Linked DNA regions of Anolis sagrei. The protein of the gene in region 3 interacts with the protein of the main gene of each other region in a biochemical or structural test. Links are inferred from orthologs where the notes say so. Each region holds a gene or a part of one and is shown on either strand. Other genes may lie near its edges.

The links.
Region 1: the proteins of ERBIN (region 3) and ABCA1 interact in a test that uses a peptide from one of them, tested with the Homo sapiens proteins (2 studies listed by BioGRID and IntAct). The link is inferred for Anolis sagrei from reciprocal best matches to the Homo sapiens genes ERBIN and ABCA1.
Region 2: the proteins of ERBIN (region 3) and PKP4 form a complex in vitro, tested with the Homo sapiens proteins (4 studies listed by BioGRID and IntAct, with this or other methods). The link is inferred for Anolis sagrei from reciprocal best matches to the Homo sapiens genes ERBIN and PKP4.

Annotation. Positions count from the first base shown.
Region 1 is NC_090022.1:158,798,739-158,806,621, reverse strand, and holds the start of ABCA1 (phospholipid-transporting ATPase ABCA1), read left to right. Parts: upstream 1-4,808; 5' UTR 4,809-5,056; intron 5,057-7,883. UniProt on the Homo sapiens protein: Catalyzes the translocation of specific phospholipids from the cytoplasmic to the extracellular/lumenal leaflet of membrane coupled to the hydrolysis of ATP.
Region 2 is NC_090021.1:201,404,699-201,411,976, reverse strand, and holds the start of PKP4 (plakophilin-4), read left to right. Parts: upstream 1-4,203; 5' UTR 4,204-4,356; intron 4,357-7,278. UniProt on the Homo sapiens protein: Plays a role as a regulator of Rho activity during cytokinesis. May play a role in junctional plaques.
Region 3 is NC_090022.1:267,864,941-267,872,015, reverse strand, and holds the start of ERBIN (erbin), read left to right. Parts: upstream 1-4,047; 5' UTR 4,048-6,540; intron 6,541-7,075. UniProt on the Homo sapiens protein: Acts as an adapter for the receptor ERBB2, in epithelia. By binding the unphosphorylated 'Tyr-1248' of receptor ERBB2, it may contribute to stabilize this unphosphorylated state.

The sequences.
Region 1 (7,883 bases), about 110 Mb from region 3:
ATTTGGTGTGATTTCGTTCATTGGTTCTTTTGTTTTTAAGGTACTCATTAAGCACAGTGCATTTTTATATATAGAGAAGATATAGATTAACAGCAGCTGCAGCCCACGGGTAGTGGAGATACCTCTGTGTCATTTCCACAATTGTCCCACACACTTCACTTCCCTAAGCTGGCATTTGCCATATGGAGGGAAACACTGAGGCTCATATAGGGCAGGCATGGACAAACTTTGGCCCTCCAGGTGTTTTGGACTTCAACTCTCAGAAATCCCAGCCAACTTACCAGATGTTAGGAATTGTGGGAGTTGAAGTCCAAAACACCTGACGAGGCGAAGTTTGCCCTTGCTTGAGTTAGGGGAATAGGGTCTGTTTGACTCTCCACTGTTTATATTGGGTATTGTTGATTGGATTTGCAGATCGACGTCTGGAGAACCTAGTGTTGTGTAGGAAACTGTATGTTTTGCTCTGCAGGACAAATAAAAGATTGGAAGGACAATTCTGATCAGTTCCATTTCGTTTATTGCTCATAATGCTTAGGTCATCATGATGTTCATTTTCCTTATGTTGTAGCATGCTGACCTAAGCATTATGAACAAATCTTACCAAGAATACCCTGTGACAGGTTTTACTTAGGGCTGCCAAAGCTCACAAATAATTTGAATGCACATAACTGGTGACGCAGTGGATTAAACCGCTGAGCTGCTGAGTTTGTTGACAGAAAGGTCAAAGGTTGAAATCCAGGAAGCGCCTTGAGTTTCTGCTGTCAGCCCCAGCTTCTGCCAACCTAGCAGTTCGAAAACATGCAAATGTGAGTAGATCAATAGGTACTGCTCCAGTGGGAAGGTAACGGCACTCCATGCAGTCATTCGGGCCATATGACCTTGGAGGTGTCTACAGACAACGCCGGCTCTTGGTCAGTAGTAATTTAAAGCAGTTATTTATTTATTTTGAACATTTTTACCCCACCCTTCTCAACCCCTAGGGGGACTCAGGGCGGCTTCATTGCAGCATCATAAAATACAAAATAGAAAATTTAATAATTAAAAACATGAACATTAAGAAATAAAGATTAAACAGTATACTTATGATCCATTTAACTATTGCCAGTCTGGTGGCTATTTATTTAGCCATATACTAATGATTACTCTGCTTAACTTATCCAAATTCACTTCCAAGCCATAGTCAAACATTATCAATAGTCCTTTAACCTAATTGCCCAAAGGCCTGGTCCCACAACCATGTTTTTACCTTCTTTCTAAAGGTGAGGAGGGATGACGATGACCTAATTTTCCCAGGAAGCGAATTCCACAGGCGGGAGGCCACCATCGAGAAGGCCCTGTCCCTTGTCCCTGCCATATGTGTTTGAGACAAAGGCGGGGCCGAGAGCAGGGCCTCCCCAGAAAATCTTAAGCTCTGAGGTGGGACGTTGAAGGAGATACGTTCAGACAGGTATGCTGGACCAGAGCCGTATAGAGTTTTATAGGTCAAGACCAGCACTTTGAATTGTGCTCGGAATTGGATCGGCAGCCAATGGAGCGGACACCATGGGGGGTGGGTGGGTATGCTGCTTGTATGACGCTCCGGTGAGTAATCTAGCTGCCACCCTTTGGAATAATTGCAGTTTCTGAACAGTCTTCACGTAGAGTGCGTTGCAGTAATCTATCCGGGATGTGACAAGAGCATGGACCACTGTGGCCAGATCCAACTTCCCAAGGTACGGGTGCAGCTGGCGCACAAGTTTTAACTGTGCAAAAGCGATCCCAGCCACCACCGAGACCTGGGGTTCCAGGCTCAGCGATGAGTCCAGGATCACTCCCAAGCTGCGTACCTGTCTTCATGTGTAGTGTAACCTCATCCAACACAGGCGGTAACCCTATGCCCTGTTCGGCCTTACGACTGACCAGTAGGACCTCTGTCTTGTCTGGATTCAATTTCAATTGGTTAGCTCTCATCCGGCCCGACACAGCAACCAAACACCAGTTCAAGGTTCGGACAGCCTCCTTGGCTACTAACTAGCTGTGCCACAGATAGATAAATAGAAAGATATTGTGTGGATATGTCTGCATGTACCTTGGGAAGTTTGACTTGGCCACAGTGGGCCACACTCTTGTTACATCCCAATTAGACTACTGCAATGCGCTCTACATGGGGCTGACTTTGAAGACTGCCCGGACACTTCAACTAGTCCAACAGTTGGCAGCCAGGTTGCACACCAGAGTGGCGTACAGGGAGTATACAACTCCTATTACACCAGCTCCACTGGCTGCTGATCCGCTATCGAGCACAATTCAAAGTGCTGGTTGTAACCTTTAAAGCTCTAAACGGTTCTGGCCCAGACTATATGTCCGAATGTATCTCCTGCTACGAATCATCATGAAGTTTAAGATCATCTGGAGAGGCCCTGCTCTTGATCCCACCGCCGTCGCAAATGCTATTGGTGGAGACGAGAGAGGGCCTTCTCAACAGTGGCCCCCATCTGTGGAATTTCCTCCCCAAAGACATCAGACTGGCCACCTCCCTCCTGCCTTTAGAAGGAAACTTAAGACTTGGCTGTGGGATCTTGCATTTGACCATTGAACAGCGGCTTGTATGAAGAAGACATAAGCAATTTCGAAGTGACAATGAATTGACCTGAATCCGGATTTTTATTGGCGTGTTTTAACAACTGTTTCTTTAATGTTTTGTTTTAATGAATTGGTTGATTGTTTTTATCATTATAAGGGCACAGAATGGTGTTTGCTTTGAGGCCGCCCAGGGGTGAGAAGGGTGGGGTACAAGTATATGAAATAAATAAATACATACATGTATATCTATGTATATATTTATGCTTATAAGACTTTTTACTGTTAGCCCCAGGTTCTGCCAACCTAGCAGTTTGAAAACATGCAAATGTGAGTAGAGAGGCGGCCCTAGGTAATTTTCAATGGTAAGCAAACAGTATCCCCCCCCCCCCCCAACCAATCATTGATATATATTTTCTGTTCGTCGTGGGAGTTCTGTGTACCATATTTGGTTCAGTTCCATCATTGGTGGAGTTCAGAATGCTCTTTGATTGTAGATGAACTATACATCCCAGTAACTACACTTGCCACACTTGCTCCCTTGCCTGGCCCGCTTTGGATCCAGAGGCGTGCCTGAAGACCCCGGCGTGTGCACCAAAAGTCACCTCTTCTCCTGACTTTCTCCTCAGCCATTGGGACCGAGAGAGAGAGAGAGAGAGACAGAGGTGGAGATGCCCACCTTTCCTGAAGATAGGTGCAAAAACAAAGGAGGGAGCGGAGGTAGGAGACACCTCCAGCTGGAGGGTCTCTCTCTTTCTCTCTCTCTCTTGGTCCCAATGGCTGAAGAGAAAGTCAGGAGAAGAGGTGACTTTTGGTGCGCATGCTGGGGTCTTCAGACATGCCTCTGGACCCGAAGTGGGCCAGGCGCGACGGCTCCGCCCCTTGGCCCACCCGCAGATTGGGGAAAGGAGAGGAGGCGGGTGGAGCCGGTCATGGAAGCTTTTAAGCAGAGGCTGGATGGCCATTTGTCAGGGGTGATTTGAATGCAATATTCCTGCTTCTTGGCAGGGGGTTGGACTGGATGGCCCATGAGGTCTCTTCCAACTCTTTGATTCTATGATTCTATGATTCTATGGGAGCCGGTCATGAGAGCCGGTCATGAGAGCCGGTCATGGGGAAGGGATCGAACGCAGAGAACGATTGAGCACAGGCTCTGCTCGCGCACCCGGTGGCCGGGTGGAGCAGGAACAAGAGGCGCTAGGCGAGGCTCAAGGGTCTGGCCCCTTTGGGAAGAGGATCACCCGGCAGCGAGGCAAGAAAGCCAAGGCGCCCCCCGGACTGCTAGGGCTGTTGTGAGCTGAGGGGGTGCTCCTCAAGTGGCGGTCGAGGGGCATTTACAGAGGTTCCTCTGCGCCCCTGGCAAAAAAAAGTGTTCTGCGACCGCTTACTTCGCGTAATGGACGAGCCAGCCCTGAATAGATCAATAAGTACTGCTCCAGTGCAGGCATGTAGCTGGGGGGGGGGGGGGGGGGCTTGAGGGGCTTCAGCCCCTCCCCTGAAATTCTCATGGTGGTTCACGAAAAGGCCTTACTGTTTAAACTGTTATGTTTATTCATATCATGATCTGATCACCATACTCAATATTTCCCATATGCATGGGGATATTGGGGTAACAATATAAAACGTTTGCTAGGGTAGACCCTCTTTTACGCAGACTCAGCCCCCCCCCCCCCCCCCCCCAAACAAACTCAGCCCTTGAATCGAAATCCTGGCTACGGGCCTGCTCCAGTGGGAAGGTAACAGTGCTCTATGCAGTCATGCCAGCCACATGACCTTGAAGGGTCTGCGGACAACGCCAGCTCTTCGGCTTAGAAATGGAGATGAGCACCACACCCAGAGTCGGACATGACCGGACTTCACGTCAGGGGAAAACGTTTACCTTTTATAAGACTTTCAAACCAGGAACAGAAAAAAAAATCAAATTTTGTTACATAGTGCTATAGATTGAGGTCTGGGAAGTGGAGCTGCAATCCCCACTCAGCCTTGGGAACCTACTGGGTGATCTTGGGCGAGTCACACTCTCTCAGCCTCAGAGGAAAGCAGTGGCCATACCCCATCTTAAGAAATCCTGGGGTAGGTTCGTTTGGGGGTTCCCCATGGGTGAGAAAGGGCTTGGAGTTCCCCAATGACAACAAGAACAGCAGCAGAGATTGGTGGGGGCTCTCTACTCCCCCCCCCCAAATGTACGCGTCCCCTTTAAGAGGCGGTCCCAGCCCTCCACGTGCCGCGGCTGAGTGACGGCCACACATAAACAGAGCGGCAGAAAGGAAGCCGCGCTTGACCGATAATAACCTCCTCGGCGCAGCGCCGGCGGGATCTATATAAGGCGCTCCGGGTCCGGGACTGGCCCTGGTTTGGCCCCAGCCGCGTCGGTGGGAGCCACAAAGGAAGCCGGAGGAGCCCCCGATCGAGTGGCTCCCCGATCTACTCCGGGAGGTCTTTCCAATTCCTGGCCGGAGGGAGAGAAAAATCGCCTCCCCATCAAACTGGCGAGGAGGTAATCATAACAACAACAACAACAACAGGGTGGAGGGGGGCAAACTTGGGGAGGAGAGTCAGAAGGGGGTTATTTCTTCTCACCCTCTTTGTCCCACGGGTGGATCTTTGTGTACTGAGAACAAAAAGAGACCAGAGGATGTCTGAGCGTGTGCAGAGTGCTTTCTCCTGCCTGCCCCGTCAATTGTTTGTCTTCTTAGCTCCAGGCAAGGAAATGTGGGGGAATTGAGTCGTTGGCAAGGTGTCCCAAGGCTTTTCTGACCCAATTTGGGGTCATCGGGATTCGAACCCGGGGTCAAGAGTGGCTTGAGACCCAAAGTTGGGGGGTTTGTTTGGATGGGAGTTACTGGAAAGGCGGAGGAGGGGAAAACACACTCCTTTGTCCTTTCTGGCTTGGAAAGGACAAAGAAGAAGAAGGCGGTGATGGGTTAGGAAAGGGAACGTTTGGGGAGCTGTCCCAGCCCCACAGCTCAATCCTATGGGAATCCTATAGTTCTGCATCACCTTTAGCCTTCTCTGCCCAACTCCCAGGGACAATTCCTAGGCTACAACTCCCAGGAACCCAATAGCATTGAGTCTTGGCAATGAAAAAGTGGGGTCAAACTGCCCTGGTTTTCTAGTGGAGATGGAGCAATCGCTCACCAAAGGAAAAGCACACATCCCTCAGGACTCTCGTTGTCCAGCTTCCCCCAAATGTCTCTATGGTGTTGGTGTACCCACAAGCTTCATTGACATTGAACTTTGAAGATTGGGCATGTAAAAGAAAGGGAAGAAAGACATACAGGAAGTATTGAGACACAAAGCAGAGGAAAGCTGCTTTTGTTCTTTTTCTCTCTCACACACTTTTCTTTCTCTCTCTCATACACACACATTTTCCTTCCTTCCTCTCTCTACTCCTTCCTTCCTTCCTTCCTTCCTTCCTTCCTTCCTTCCTTCCTTCCTTCCTTCCTCTGTACACAGTTTTCTTCCTTTCCTTCCTTCCTTCCTTCCTTTCTTCCTTCCTTCCTTCCTCTCTCTCTCTGTCTCTCAAAAACACTTTCCTTCCTTCCTTCCTTCCTTCCTTCCTTCCTTCCTCTCTCACACATTGTTCCCTTTCTTCCTTTCTCTCACACCTTTTCTCTCTCTCTCTCTCTCTCTCACACACACACACACAACCTTTTATTCTTTTCTTCCTTCCTTCCTTCCTTCCTTCCTTCCTTCCTTCCTTCCTTCCTCTCTCACACACTTCTCTCTCTCTCACACACATAGTTTCCTTCCTTCCTTCCTCTTTACACACTTTTCTTGCTTTTCTTCCTACCTTCTTTTCTCTCACACACTTTCTCTCTCTCTCACACACACACACACATCCCTTCCTTCCTTCCTCTCACACACTTTTCTTCCTTCCTACCTTTCTCTCACACACTTTTCTTCCTTTCTCTCTCTCTCACACACTCACTTTTCTCTCTCTCTCTCTCACACACACTTTCCTTCTTTCCTTCCTTTCTTCTTCTCTCACACATTGTTCTCTTCCTTTCCTTCCTTTCTCTCACACACTTTTCTTCCTTTCTCTCACACACTTCTCTCCCTCTCTCGCACACTCACTCACTTTTCTTCCTTCCTTCCTTCCTCTCTCACACATTCATCCTTCCTTCCTTCCGTCCGTCCTCTCTCACACACACTTTTCTTTCCTTCCTTCCTTCCTTCCTTCCTTCCTTCCTTCCTTCCTTCCTTCCTTCCTTCTGTCCTCTCTCACACACACTTTTTTCCCTTCCTTCCTTCTTTCTGTCTTTCACACACTTTTCTTTCTTTTCTTCCTTCCATCCTTTCTCTCACACACACTTTTCTTTTCTTCCCTCCTCCCTCTTTCCTTCCTTCCTCACACACTTTTTCGTCCTTCCTTCCTTCTTTCCTTCCTTCTTTCTTCCTCTCTCTCTCACACACATACACACACACACTTTTCTAATAATCACCACCACCATCATCATCACTATCATCTTTATTTGTTTCCTGCCCCATCTCCCCAAGGGGACTCAGAGTAGCTCAAAACAACCCAAACAATAAACAGTAATAAGATTAACAATCTCTTTAAAATTAGATCGGCAAAATAACAATACAAAATCAATATGGAAGTAAAAGAAGACATATTAAATATGGTATTATTATGTTATCAGTATATAAAGCATCACCCTTCCTTTCTCTCACACACTTGTCTTCCTTTCTCTCTGTCACACACTTTTCTTTCTTTCTTTCTTTCTTTCTCTTTCTCTCACAAATACTTTTTTCCTCTGCTGCTGCTGCTTTCTCGGAAAGTGCCTCCAGTTGGGGCTGCTGAGACGAGGCGCAAGATGTACTGACAGAGAAAAAGGCACAAGACAAAAAACAAACCCACACAGCTCCAAGTTGCACGAAATGACCGAGAGTAACCCCGGCTTGGAAGGAGAGCTTAATGAAAGCCAGCAGCCGGGCAAATGCCTGTATGCCTGTCTGTGGAGGTCTTTGCCAGGCTAGGGCTTTACTTTAAGCTGCATGTATGCAAGCAAAGCCACCTCTGGCTAGTCCTTGCCTAAGAAAACCCTCGGAAATCCACAGGGTCACCGTAAGGTGATTTGAAGGTGTACAAACACACATGTATGTGCAGTCAGGCTTCCATATGTGTAATGTTATACAGTGGGGTGTCCTGGAACCAAATTCCAGCAGACACCAAAGATACATTGGGTTGCTGTGAGTTTTCTGGGCTGTATGGCCATGTTCCAGAAGCATTCCCTCCTGACATTTTGCCCACATCTATGGCAGGCATTCTCAGAGGTTGTGAGGTCTGTTAGAGACTAGGTAAGTGGGGTTTATATATC
Region 2 (7,278 bases), on a different chromosome or scaffold from region 3:
AGAATGAGAAACAATTATATATAAATAAACTAATTGCCCTTGTATATATTATACTTAACAAACCAAAATGATGTGGAAAATGAAATAGTAGAAAAACGTTGGTCTCAATGGATGCAAACATAGTGCTAGTCTTTGACATATTGGAAAAATAAAATATAACTAGTGGACACAAATATGGCCACCTTGGGGTGGGAGGAGACTGGTTTTCCTATATCAGATAGTGTATACCTGCATGTCAGGAAGTTGGACTGGATGGTCCTTGCAGTCTCTTTGAACTCTATGATTCTGTAACTTAAAAGGCACTGTTCTTGTGAAGTGACCATGCATGTGCAGTTACATACATCTGATCAGAGACAAGATACGCACATACATACTTTAAGAGAACAAAACATCCACGAAACAATAAAAATGTACAAAATATGCACATAAAACACATATGCTTCCAAAGCTCCACTGGCTTCTTCATTAGGCAAAAGTGTTAACAATCATACAAGAAAAAGAAAAAATGAGAAGTTAGACTCATAGGTCTGTGTTCTCTCAGGGTTTTTGTTGTTGTCAGTTAAGATGTTCTGGAGAGATATCAATGGAATCAGAGGACCTTTGTAGTCATGTGAGCACTGAAACTAAGGCCCAATCCACACCACCATAATACAACTTCAAATGGCATTTTATGACAGTGTAGATGTGGCCAAAAAGCTGTAAAATGAGGGCAATAAAACTGCAACTCCATTAACATCAGAAAAAATAACTTTCCTTTCTGAACTGCTGATTGTTTAAAATACATCAAAAATAGGGTTTCCATTAAGTGTATTGGCTATTACTTGTGTGTGTGAATATGTCACCTGTCTACTTATGGTGACTTTATACATTTCATAGGGTTTTCTTAGGCAAGGAATACTCAGAGGTAGTTTTACCAGTCTATTCCTTTGAAATATATATAGCCCATAGGACCGTATGTGTTGGCTGTCCCATCCAAGTATTAATCAGGCCTGACCTTCCTTCGCATGCAAATCAGATGGGACCTGTTACCTTTAGTAAAGTACATCTCCAAAATCTTCAACAAAATTTGTGGGAAGGATACACACACATGCACACACACAAAGTAAATAAAATATATCTCATATATGTTAGGGACAAATACAAAAATACAGCAGAGTTGAGGGAAAGAAAAGGAACAAAGTGGATTGGCTGTTGCTAGGTGAAGTGGCCCTCTGTAACATACTTGGGAAAGAAAGGGAGGGAAGTAGATTGGCTGCTGCTAAGTGATGTGTATGCAGAGAAGGTAGGGAGGAAGGAAAACAAAGGGAAACAAAGGAAGGAAAAAGGAAAAGAGTGAGAGAGAAGAAAGAAAAAGGAGGGAAGGAAGAGAAAGGAAAGAGGAGAAGCAGGCATGTAGCGGGGGGGGGGGGGGTCTTGAGGGGCTTCAGCCCCCCCCCTGAAATTCTTATGGTGGTTCGCGAAAAGGCCTTATTGGTGCATTATTTAAACTGTTGTTTATTCATATCATGATCTGATCACCATACTCAATATATCCCATATGCATGGAGAAGTGGGTAATGATACAAAAGGTTTGCTAGGGTAGACCCTTTTTCACTCAGACACAGCCCCCCCCCCCAAACTCAGCCCCCCCAAAAAACCCTGACAAAAACTCAGCCCCGCCCCTCCCCCCAAATCGAAATCCTGGCTACGGGCCTGGGGAGAAGGTATGAGGGAAGGGAAAGAAAGAGAAAGGAATGGGAAAAAGGGGGGGGGGAGGGAGGGAGGTTAGAAAGAAAAAGAAGCGAAGAGAAGTGAAGGAAGATAAAGGGAAGAAAGAAAGAAAATGTGTATGAGGGAAACAGCAGAAGAAGGAAAAAAAGAGCTGCAAAGAAAATGCAAACCCGGACAACAGTACTATTTAAAAGGCATGTTGCCTGTGTGGCTTTAATCTATTTGATGAAGACGTTTCTGAGGATGCATTTATACTGTAGAATTAATTCAGTTTCACACCACTTTAATTTTCATGGCTCAACGCTATGGTGGCATGGGATTAGAAATTTTACTAGGCATTTAATCTTCTCTGCCTGAGTTCTGCTTCCCATCATCATTAGCCGTATTTATGTATTTTAATTGTTTTGTAACCCACCTCGAGCCATGAGGAGAGGCGGGTAAGGAATATTATCATTATCATTATTATTACAGGATTCCATAGTGCAGAGCCATGGCACTTAAAGTGGGGTCAAACTGCATTAATTACACAGTGTAGATAACTTTGGCCCTCCAGGTGTTTTGGTCTTCAACACCCACAATTCCTAAATATTAGGAATTGTGGGATTTGGCGTCCAAAACATCTGGAGGGCCAAAGCTTTCCCATGCCTGGTGCACCCTGAGTGGTGAGGAAACAGTAGAGTTTACTTAGGGCACAAGTTCCTGCTGTTATTGGTTCCCATTCTCCCCCCAGTTCCTCCCTGGGGTGCATCTACATCAGGCAGGGGCAGACTTTGGCCCTCCAGGTGTTTTGGACTTCAACTCCCACAGTTCCTAACTGTTATGAATAGTGAAAGTTGGAGTCCAAAACAACTGGAAGGCTCAAGTCTGCCCAGGCCTGATATAGATGCACCCCGAGAATAGTGGAGGAAACACTAGACCAGTGGTTCTCAGCCTTTGGGTCCCCAGATGTTTTGGCCAACAACTCCCAGTAATCCTAGCTAATTTACTAGCTGTTAGGGGTTCTGGGAGTTGAAGGCCAAAACATCTGGGGACCCACAGGTTAAGAACCAGTGCAGCAGAGTTTACTTAGAGCAGAAGTTCCTGCATTTCTTGCTGTTATTGGTTCCCATCCTCCCCCATTACCTCCCAGTTCCTCCCTGGAGTGCATCTATACCAAGCATGAGCAAACTTTGGCCCTCCAGATGTTTTGCACTTCAACTCCTACAATTCCTAAGTGTTAGGAATTGTGGGAGTTGGAGTCCAAACAACCTGCAGGGACGAAGTTTGCCCAGGCCTGGTGTAGATGCATCCTGAAAGTGGTGGGGAAGCAATAGAGTTTACTTAGGGCACAAGTTCCTGCATCTCTTGCTGTTATTGGTTCCCATCCTCCCCCATTACCGCCCTGGAGTGCATCTACACCAGGTATGAGCAAACTTTGGCCCTCCAGGTGTTTTGCACTTCAACTCCCACAATTCCTAAGTGTTAGGAATTGTGGGAGTTGAAGTCCATGCATCTCTTGCTGTTATTGGTCCCCATCCTCCCCTCATTACCTCCCAATTTCTCCCTGCATCTACACCTGGCAGGGGCAAACTCTGGCCCTCTAGGTGTTTTGGACTTCAACTCCCACAATTCCAAACTGTTAGGAATTAGGCTTGGGCAAACTTCAGCCCTCCAGGTGTTTTGGACTCCAACTCCCACAATTCCTACAGGTGTTTTGCACTCCCACTCCCACAATTCCTTTTAGGAATTGTGGGAGTTGGAGTCCAAAACACCTGGAGGGCTGAAGTGTTTTGGACTCCAACTCCCACAATTCCTACAGGTGTTTTGTACTCCAACTCCCACAATTCCTGTTAGGTGTACATCAGGCCTGGGCAAACAGTGTACATCAGTGTACACTGTACATCAGGCCTGGGCAAACTTCGGCCCTCCAGGTGTTTTGGACCCTAACTCCCACAATTCCTGTTAGGAATTGTGGGAGTTAGAATCCAAAACACCTGGAGGGCCGAAGTTTGCCCAGGCCTGATGTACACTGTAAATTGGAACGCAGCTTGAGCAGACATTGACTGCCATGGCTCAATCCTATGGAATAGTGGGAGCTGTAGCTTCAGAAGGCCTCGAGGTTGCTGCTCGGCCGAAGAGTGCTGGTGCCTCACCAAATTTACAACTCCCAGGATCCCCCAGCATGGAGCCTTGGCAGTTGAAAACGGTGTCAAACTGTAGATGACTGTAGCGGGGTGTGGAGGTGCGAGAGAGCCCCTCTCCCTGGGCCGGGCCTGACCTGAAGGAAGTGCAGCTTCCCCCCTTCTTCTCCTTCTCCTCGCCTGCTCGCCCGCCGGCCTCTTCACAGCATCGGTAACCCTGGCAACCTCAGCTGGCTCCGCCATTGGGCGGTTTGAGCCCCGCGGCGGGCCAATGGCGAGGCGTCTCGCGGCGCGCTCCTCCAATCGGGGCGAGGCGCAGGGCAGGGCGAGGCGCTGACGTCTGGCGGAGGGGCGGGGAGAAGCAGGCGGCGAAGGAAGGGAGGGAGGGAGGAAGGAAGGAGGGTTTCGTGTTTCTCCTCAGCGGTGGCGGCACCGGGACCATGGGCGCCCCGGGGTAGGGCCCTTCCCGGCCGGCGGGGAGGCGGCGGTGGCGGCCCCTCCGCGCCAGCGAAGACTCGGCGCCGCGGTGAGTGAGGGAGTGAGGGAAGGAAGAGCGTGAGGGAGGGAGGGAGGAGGGGAGGGCGCGGGGCCAGGTGGGTCGCCTCCCTGCATCCTGAGGCAGCTCCTCGCCACCCTCACCCCCGCCTTGCCCTCTCCTTCTTCCAGCAACTTCCCTCCCTGTGGGAGACCAAGGGGAAGAAGGCACGAGGCATCCAGCCTGGCTCGCCTCTTTCCCATCCTTTCCTCCAACTTGCCCCTCCTTGTGGTCATATTATTACTTTATCGCATTACTAGTATTATATTGTTGTTAGTGTAATTATTACCCCCCATTTTGACCTCCCATTGCGAAACAGGAGAGTTTCAAGTGCCCCCTCATTCTCTCAAAACTTGCCAACCTCCCTTGAAATCCTCGTGGTATCATCATCATCATCATATCATTATTTTTTATTACATTTACATGTATTTGTTTCAAACAGGACGGTTTCAATTGCCCCCTCATTCTCTCAAAACTTGCCAACCTCCCTTGAAATCCTCGTGGTATCATCATCATCATATCATTATTTTTTATTACATTTACATGTATTTGTTTCAAACTGGAGGGTTTCAAGTGCCTCATAATTCTCCCAAAACTTGCCAGCCTCCCTTGAGATCCTTGTGGTATCATCACATCATTATTTTTTATTATATTTACATGTATTTGTTTCAAACAGGAGGGTTTCAAGTGCCCCATCATTCTCCCAAAACTTGCCAGCCTCCCTTGAAATCCTCGTGGTATCACCATCATCATATCATTTTTTATTATATTCAAATGTATTTATTTCCCATGGTCAATGTAATGTGTCTCCTTGGTTTGGTTATGCTTAGCACTGCTTCCTCTCTGCTTATCTTGTCTCCTTTTGCTTCCTTTCTCATCCCACTTTACGACTCCCAAGATCCTTTCTTTTACCCTCTAAGTAACCTTTGCATCGCCCCTCTCCCCCACTATATCTTATTTTTATTATATTTACGGTGTAATTATTTCTCATCGTCAGTGTGTCTCCTTGGTTTGGCTCTGCTTAGGACTGCCGCTCCTCATAAACATTGCTGCTTGTCTTGTCTTTTCTCGTTTCCTTTCCCATCCCACTTTCCAAGATCCTCTCCTTTACCCTCTAAGTAACCTTTGCATTGCCCCCCTTCCCACTATACCTCCTCCTTCCTTATCTTCCCATCCTAAGCATAATTCCCCCTCCCCCCTTTCTCTTTATCTTCAGGGTGCTTTCCCCCCACCCATTTCCCTATTTTACTTATTTTCTTTTGTAAATCAGCAGTGGGTGCTCCATCTTATCATCCTGACAATATTCTGCTTCCATCAACTCTGCCTTCTGTGTCTTCCCATCCTAAACATTTTATTTATTTATTTCTTATCCTAAGAGTGTGTTGTGGTGGAGCAATGGGTTAAACTCTTGTGCTGACAGGGCTATTGACCAAAAGGTCAGCGGTTCAAATCCGGGGTGCGGGGTGAGCTCCTGTCTGTCAGCTCCAGTTCACCATGTGGGGACATGAGAGAAACCTCCCACAGTGTGGTCAAACATCCGGGTGTCCTCTGGGCAACGTCCTTGCAGACAGCCAATTCTCTCACACCAGAAGCGACTTGCAAATTCTTAAGTTGCTCCTGGCACAATTTTAAAAAATTCTAAGGATGCCCATATCCATCAGTTTCTTGTTCAATTTTTTTAATATAAATAGGCTCCACCTTAGCTGTCCTCCTATCTCCTGTAACAACTTCCTTTATGCAGATTCCGCCACCTCCTTTTTATTACTTGTCTCCTTTGCCCTTCCTCGTGTAGTTTGGGCTTACTGGTTGAAATGGGTACCATTCTATACAGCACCCCACGAGTCTTTTACTAGAACATAGACTCTCTTAATGTTTCCATTTGTCCTGAAATAACTCCCTCCCCACTCATCTCACGATATTTATCTCCCCTGAAATTCCTCTCATTGTAACTTGCTATTCTTCCTCACCAGGAATTTACCTGATGTCCTTCACTCCCTGAACATTGCCTTTTGAAAAAAAATCCTGGCCTTTCTTTAATTTTTGGCCCCTTGTTAAAAGGGATGCGCTCTAATTTCTGTAAAGCTTTTCACTCCTTATCCTGTATCTGATATTGCCTTTTAGTTATCTGTTTACTCCTGTGTGCCTTTTTCCCATTCCTTGAGTGCCAGTAACAGCTCTCCTCCTGACTAGTATGCACAAACCTGTTCATGCCTCCCAAACCCTGACAATTCGCTTTCCATCCCTTCAATTCTATTTCCATTCCTTTGCCTCAGCCTTTCTCTCCTTGTCGTTGCAGGCATTTCTTCCTGCTTCTTCGGCTTCTTAAAAGCCCTTCCCCTCATTTCCCTGTTCCCTCGGCTCAGTCTTGGCCCTCCAAAAACCCTTCTTTCTTAACCTGTATAGTCTACCCTCACTCGACCTCGCCCCATCTTGTATTTCCCCCATTTGCTTGTTAGAGCTCCTTGCATCTAAGCTTGAGGAGAGAATCCATAGAGTGCCAGTGGCATTTTCTCTTTCTCCCCGCTCTCTTTCTCCCTGTCCTGGCTTTCCTCTGAAGCAGACCAGACCTCACAACTCCTATGCCCCTGCAATCACTTTGTAGGGGGAAGACTGGGAGGGGTAGTGGCTGCTTGCCTTTTTGGCTGCATGTTTGAGGAGTGCGACAGACGGACGGAAGCGGTTGGCTCTCTGGGCGAATGGGAGGGCAGGTGTGTGTGCTTGTGTGTGGGAGGGGGCACGTAGTTTGCTCCTGGAGCTTTCCGATAGTGCAGGAATGTGAGGAATGCCTAGGAAGACTGCTGCAACAGATCCGCTCCTTGCCCAGCTCTCTTAACAGCCAAAGGTCACTGGACCATCTATCCAGTAGGAAGCCGCTGCATGCATGCTGCAGAGAGAGAGCGAAAGCGTGTGGGA
Region 3 (7,075 bases):
TGGTGTTCTGGTGGTGGGTCCATAGTGACTGTGGAGCCCTATTCTTGACCTGCATCTTCTCCCATAGTGAGGACATCAGTTTCCAGGTGGAAGGCGGTCCCGGTCGGGGTTGGCTTGACAGGCCTTCCTCTTGACATGTTTCTCTCTTTCGCCCTCCATTCGAGCCTCTTCAAATTCTACAGCACTGCTGGTCACAGCTGACCTCCAACTGGAGCGCTCAAGGGCCAAGGCTTCCCAGTTCTCAATGTCTATGCCAGAGTTTTTAAGGTTGGCTTTGAGAGGGATTGGCTGGTGACTGCTGGAAGAGCACTTTGGTTTCCTCGATGTTTAATGACAGGCCGAGCTTCTCATATGCTTCTGCAGAGATGTTTAGGGTGGCTTTTAGGTCTTCTTCTGAATGCGCACAGACGACATTGTCATCAGCATACTGAAGTTCTATAATAGATGTTGTTGTAACCTTGCTCCCAAGGAAAATATAACTCTGTAGTGCAGGCATGAGTAAACTTTGGCCCTCCAGGTGTTTTGAAGTCCAACTTCCACAATTCCTAACAGCCTACCCTGGGAGTTGGGAGTCCAAAACACTCCCAAGGGCTTAAGTTGCTGTAGTATCATAGAATCAAAGAGTTGGAAGAGACCTCATGGGCCATCCAGTCCAACCCCCTGCCAAGAAGCAGGAATATTTGGAAACTTGCTGTTCCATTGTGCCTTCCCAGATTAGGAATCCCTATCCCAAGTCCTAGTAGCACTTTAGCACAATTAACATTGCTGCACACCATACTTTAATTCCTACGCCCCTCCTGCCATTTCAGCACTTTTAACCTTGTACCCCTCTCGCCGGCCGAACCAGTTTTAATATGTCTTGATGTATTGTTATTGCTGTCTCGCTAATTTCTGATTTTGATTTGCTTTTTGATTTTTGATTTGCTTCGTTATTACTTGTTACGTTCTCTATTGTATTGTGTGTTGTGGCTTCGGCCTGTGTAAGCCGCATCGAGTCCTTCGGGAGATGCTCGCGGGGTACAAATAAAGTTAATAATAATAATAATAATAATAATAATAATATTGCATTCAAATCACCCCTGACAGATGGCCATCCAGCCTCTGTTTAAAAGCTTCCAAAGAAGGAGCCTCCACCACACTCCGGGGCAGAGAGTTCCACTGCTGAACGGCTCTCACAGTCAGGAAGTTCTTCCTCATGTTCAGATGGAATCTCCTCTCTTGTAGTTTGAAGCCATTGTTTCGCATCCTAGTCTCCAGGGAAGAAGAAAACAAGCTTGCTCCCTCCTCCCTGTGGCTTCCTCTCACATATTTATACATGGCTATCATATCTCCTCTTTTTTTCCCTTTTTAATCTGTGTGTTTGTTTTGCTCTGTTTGAATTGTAATACAATGGTATGGTTGCTGATGACATGATAAATAAATAAATATCTCCTCTCTTCTTCAGGCTAAACATGCCCAGCTCCTTAAGCCGCTCCTCATAGGGCTTGTTCTCCAGCCCCTTGATCATTTTAGTCGCCCTCCTCTGGACACATTCCAGCTTGTCAATATCTCTGTTGAATTGTGGTGCCCAGAATTGGACACAATATTCCAGGTGTGGTCTAACCAAAGCAGAATAGAGGGGTAGCATGACTTCCCTATATCTAGACACTGTGTTAGGGAAGTAATGCTACCCCTCTATTCTGTGTGTGACTGAGTCCTATATCTATATATCTCCTATGTATACACCTTTCTGTTTCACTCTCCTTTATGCAAATACTAAAACCCTCTTCCCTTTCTTATCCCCTCCCCAAGGATTGAAAGTGGTCTCCTGACTTGTCCTCTATTCAAACTCTTTATTATTAGGTTGTTGGTTTTTCCGGGCTATATGGCCATGTTCTAGAGGCATTTTTTCCTGACGTTTCGCCTGCATCTATGACAAGCATCCTCAGAGGTAGTGAGGTCTGTTGGAAGTAGGAAAATGGGTTTATATATTTGTGGAATGACCAGGGTGGGACAAAGAACTCTTGTCTGCTGGAGCTAGGTGTGAATGTTTCAACTGACCACCTTGATTAGCATTTGATAGCCTGGCAGTGCCTGGGGCAGTCTTTTGTTGAGAGGTGATTAGATGTGCCTGATTGTTTACTCTCTGTTGTTTTGCTGCTGTAATTTTTGAGTTTTTTAATACTGGTAGCCAGATTTTGTTCATTTTCATGGTTTCTTCCTTTCTGTTGAAATTGTCCACATGCTTGTGGATTTCAGTGGCTTCCCTGTGTAGTCTGACATGGTGGTTGTAAGAGTGGTCCAGCATTTCTTTGGAGAGAAAATGTATTTATCGTGTCATCAGCAACCATACCATTGTATTACATTTCTAACAGAACAAAACAAACAAATAGATTTAAAAAAACACAGATTTTGCAAACTTGGTAGTTGATTAAATGTCCTTTGACCAGTATCTGGCCACTTGGAGCGCCTCTGGTGTTGCCGCAAGAAGGTCCTCCATTGTGCATGTGGCAGGGCTCAGGGTGCATTGCAGCAGATGGTCAGTGGTTTGTTCTTCTCCACACTCGCATGCCGTGGATTCCACTTTGTAGCCCCATTTCTGAAGGTTGGCTCTGCATCTCGTGGTGCCAGAGCGCTGACTGCTCAGCGCCTTCCAAGTCGCCCAGTCTTCTGTGTGCCCAGGGGGGAGTCTCTCATCTGGCATCACCCACAGATTGAGGTGCTGGGTTTGGGCCTGCCACTTTTGGACTCTTGCTTGCTGAGGTGTTTCAGCGAGTGTCTCTGTAGATCTAAGAAAACTATTTCTTGATTTGAGTCGTTGACGTGCTGACTGAAACCCAAACAGGGGATGAGCTGGAGATGTCTCTGCCTTGGTCCTTTCACTATTGGCTGCTACTTCCCGGCGGATGTAAGGTGGTGCAATACCAGCTAAGCAGTGTAATTTCTCCAGTGGTGTGGGGCGCAGACACCCTGTGATAATGCGGCATGTCTCATTAAGAGCCACATCTACTGTTTTAGTGTGGTGAGATGTGTTCCACACTAGGCATGCGTACTGGAGAGGAAATAATAAGTTTTTTTTTGTCACTTAGGTTTGGAGAGGAAATAATAATAAATTATTTATTTGGAGAGGAAATAATTTATTACAGGAATGGAAATTTGGATCATAGAATCATAGAATCAAAGAGTTGGAAGAGACCTCATGGGCCATCCAGTCCAACCCCCTGCCAAGAAGCAGGAATATTGCATTCAAATCACCCCTGACAGATGGCCATCCAGCCTCTGTTTAAAAGCTTCCAAAGAAGGAGCCTCCACCACACTCCGGGGCAGAGAGTTCCACTGCTGAACGGCTCTCACAGTCAGGAAGTTCTTCCTCATGTTCAGATGGAATCTCCTCTCTTGTAGTTTGAAGCCATTGTTCCGCGTCCTAGTCTCCAAGGAAGCAGAAAACAAGCTTGCTCCCTCCTCCCTGTGGCTTCCTCTCACATATTTATACATGGCTATCATATCCCCTCTCAGCCTTCTCTTCTTCAGGCTAAACATGCCCAGCTCCTTAAGCCGCTCCTCATAGGGCTTGTTCTCCAGACCTTTTATCATTTTAGTTAGATGACGGATTGGATCGCGACTCTGTTATGTTATGAGATGCATTGTGCTACCTGTTGTTGTGTCAATATTGTATATTATGCTTTTATGGTTTTAAATTGTATATTGTTGATTGATGTTTTCCTTGTTGTAAACCGCCTTGAGTCGCCTGCTGGGCTGAGAAACTGCAGTATACAAGTAAAGTAAAGCAAATAAATAAATAAATTATTATTTCCCCTCCAAACCTAAGTGACAAAAAAAAAAAACCCTTTCCTCTCCTTCCCTCCTACCTATCTTTATATATAGAGAGAGAGATTTTTTTTTCTTATTCCTCACACCCTAACCTGATCTTTTTCCTCCCTTCCTTCCCGGCCAAACCTTGAGAGCGCCACCTGATTGGCTGCGACGGGAGTCTCCTCTCTCCGGATTGGCTGAGGCGCGTCGCCCATTGCCAGACTTGTTGTCTGGCTCTGAGGGGGAAAGAAAAGTCTGAAAAGGGAGGAGGAGGGAGGGAAGGCCTCTCTCAGTCTCTCTCTCTCTGGCCTGGGCGGAGGCGCAAAAGCCGCGTAGTAGTAGTAATAGTAACGCCCGCCGCCCTCTTGAGCTGTTGCTGCTTCCTCCCTCCCTTCCTCCGCCCTTTGAGGAGAGAAACACCTCATACAGAGAGAGAGAGAGAGAGAGAGCTGCTGAGGGCGGGAATAATGGGGAAAGAAGGAAGGAAGGGGGAAGTGTGAGGAGGAGGAGTCGAGTGTGAGGCAGAGGAAGCAGGGGAAGAAAGGAAAAGGAGGAGGAGGAGAGAAGGAAGGAAGGAGGGAAGGAAGGGGCTTGTTGCGCCTCCATCTCGCTTTCCCTTCCTAGTAGCAGTGAAGGAGGCGACGACAGCATCCAAGGCCTCGTGAGGGAAGGAAGGAAGGAGGGTTTGGGCCTCCAAGAGGCCGGGGAAAGCAGGCCTCAGTTGGGTTTCATGAGGGGCAGGAAATGACTCCTCAGCCGGGACTGGGCGGCGTTTGAGGCACCTGAAACCGCATATTTTGTCAGGGCGGAAAGAGAGAGAGAAAGGAGGAGACTCGACGAGACCTCTCCTCCCCCCCCCCTTCTTCTTCGCAATTGGAAAGGATACAACAAGGTGGGGGGAAAAACCCGCAAGAGTATTATCGCGAGGAGACCTTTCCTCCCCCTTCTTCGCAACAGGAAAGGATACAACAAGGGGGGAAAAACGCCGCAAGAAAGAAGAGACTGAAACACGGAAAGAAGGAGGAGAAAAAGGGACTGAAACACGCAGAGATTGAGCTTTTCTCTCCTCTGTACAAGTGAGTTGTGGAAAGGATACAACAAACGACAAGAGGAAAAAAATACACCGCAGGAAGAGACTGAAACAGGGGAAGAAGGAGGAGGAGAAAAAGGAGACTGAAACACACAGAAATTGGGACTCAACGAGAGCTTTTCTCCTCTCTACACAACTGGAGTGAGTTGTGGAAAGGATACAGCAAACAAGGAAATAAAACACCGCAAGATACAACAAACGACAAGGGGGAAAAACACCGCAAGAAGAGACAGAAACAGGGGAAGAAGGAGGAGGAGAAAAAGGAGACTGAAACACACACAGAGCTTTTCTCCTCTCTACACAACTGGAGTGAGTTGTGGAAAGGATACAACAAACAACAAGGGGGAAAAACACCGCAAGAAGAGACTGAAACAGGGGAAGAACGAGGAGGAGAAAAAGGAGATTGAAACAAGCAGATATTGAGACTCAATTAGAGCTTTTCTCCCCTCTACACAACTGGAGTGAGTTGTGGAAAGGATACAACAAACAAGGAAATAAAACACCGCAAGAAGAGACTGAAACGGGAAGAAGGAGGTTGCAAAAAAAGGAGACTGAAACACGCGAAGACTGAGACCCGACGAGAGCTTTTCTCCCCTTCTTCACAACAGGAGTGAGTTGTGGGAAGGGTACAACAAACAACGGCAAACGCAAGAAGAAGAGAAGGAGAAAAAGGGGACTGAAACACACAAAAAATTGAGACCGGGCGAGAGCTTTTTCCCCATCTACACAACTGGAGTGAGTTGTTGAAAGGATACAACAACGTCAAGGAAAAAAAAACACTGCAAGAAGAGACTGAAACAGAGGAAGAAGGAGGTGAAGAGAGAGGGAGAGACTCGACGAGAGCTTTTCTCTCCTTCTTCACAACTGGAGTGAGTTTTGGAAAAGGATAACAAACCAGGACAAAAGCAAGAAGAAGAAGAGGCTGAAACACGGAAAGGAGGAGAAGAACGGATCTAATCAGAGAGAAGGAAAGACTTCTTTGGTTCCCTTCTCGACTGAGAGGGGAAAAGTGAAGAGGAGGAAGGGGTTTTGTGGAAAGGAAGCACCAAGGAAAGTCCCCCCAAGAAGAAGAGACTTAAACGAGGAAGAGAATAAAGGATATAATCAGGCAGAAGAAAAGAAGAGATTTTTTTTGTCCCCTTCTCGACCAAAAGGGGAGAAAGGAGTTTTGTGCAAAGGAAGCACCAGGGAAAGTCCTCCCAAGAAGAAGAAGAGACGGAAAGGAGAAGAAGGGAGAGAAACAGAGATTAGACAAGATCTTTTCTCCACTGAGTGGGAAAAAAAGTGAAGAGGAGGAAAGTGTTGTGTGGAAAGGAAGCAACAAAAAGAATAAAAAAAACCAAGGAAAAGGGAGTAAAATACACAGAGAAAGAAGAGTAGAAGAGACTCTAGAGGCCTTTTCTTTTCAACTTAAGAGGAAAAAGTGAAGGGGAGAAAAGGGTTTTGGAAAGGAAACAAAAACTCCCCCCCCCAAACAACAACAAGAAGAGCTTATTTGGCCTCTCTTTTTCCCCCTGGCACTCCCAACTGAGAGTTGTTGCTTCTCCCCTTTGCTTTCGTTTTTTTGTTGGGGAGGAAAAAAATCCACTCTTGGGATTTAAAACGTTGCTGGAAGAACTCGGCGCAGATGGAGGAAATCTGGATGCCTGAAGTCTGAGGTGGGTGGGGGAAATAATTCCCCAAAAATAGGCTAATGGTATTTTTTCTTCTTTTGGAGATCGCTAATACACAGTGTGGGCCAAAAGTCACAAAGATGTCTGATGTTTTTGATGACTTTTTAAAGCAATGAAAAAACAAGATTTTGCAGATAATGTAGTTTTATTTATTTATTTATGTATTGTATATAATGTTTATTCTAAAATAAAGGAGTTCTTAAATATTGAAGCCCCTTTGTGACTTTCGGCCCACCCTGTAGTATTTTTTTTCTATTGGAGGAAGGGAAGTTATATGTATTTCGTTTTGAGTTCATGGCCTATGTTCTTGATCCCCTCCCCCCAATTTTATGCTTTTATGAATTAGGAATTTGACTTCCAGTTTCGGGATGTGTGTCTGTGATCCTTACATGCATTTTCTTGCAGAGAGAAAATCTGGGAGAATTTTTGTTGGGAGGCAAAGCCTCTCAAACAGAAGTTTCTTTGTTCCACAGCAAGAAGGTATTGAATTGAAACTGCCCGATTATGCATTCCTGAGTTT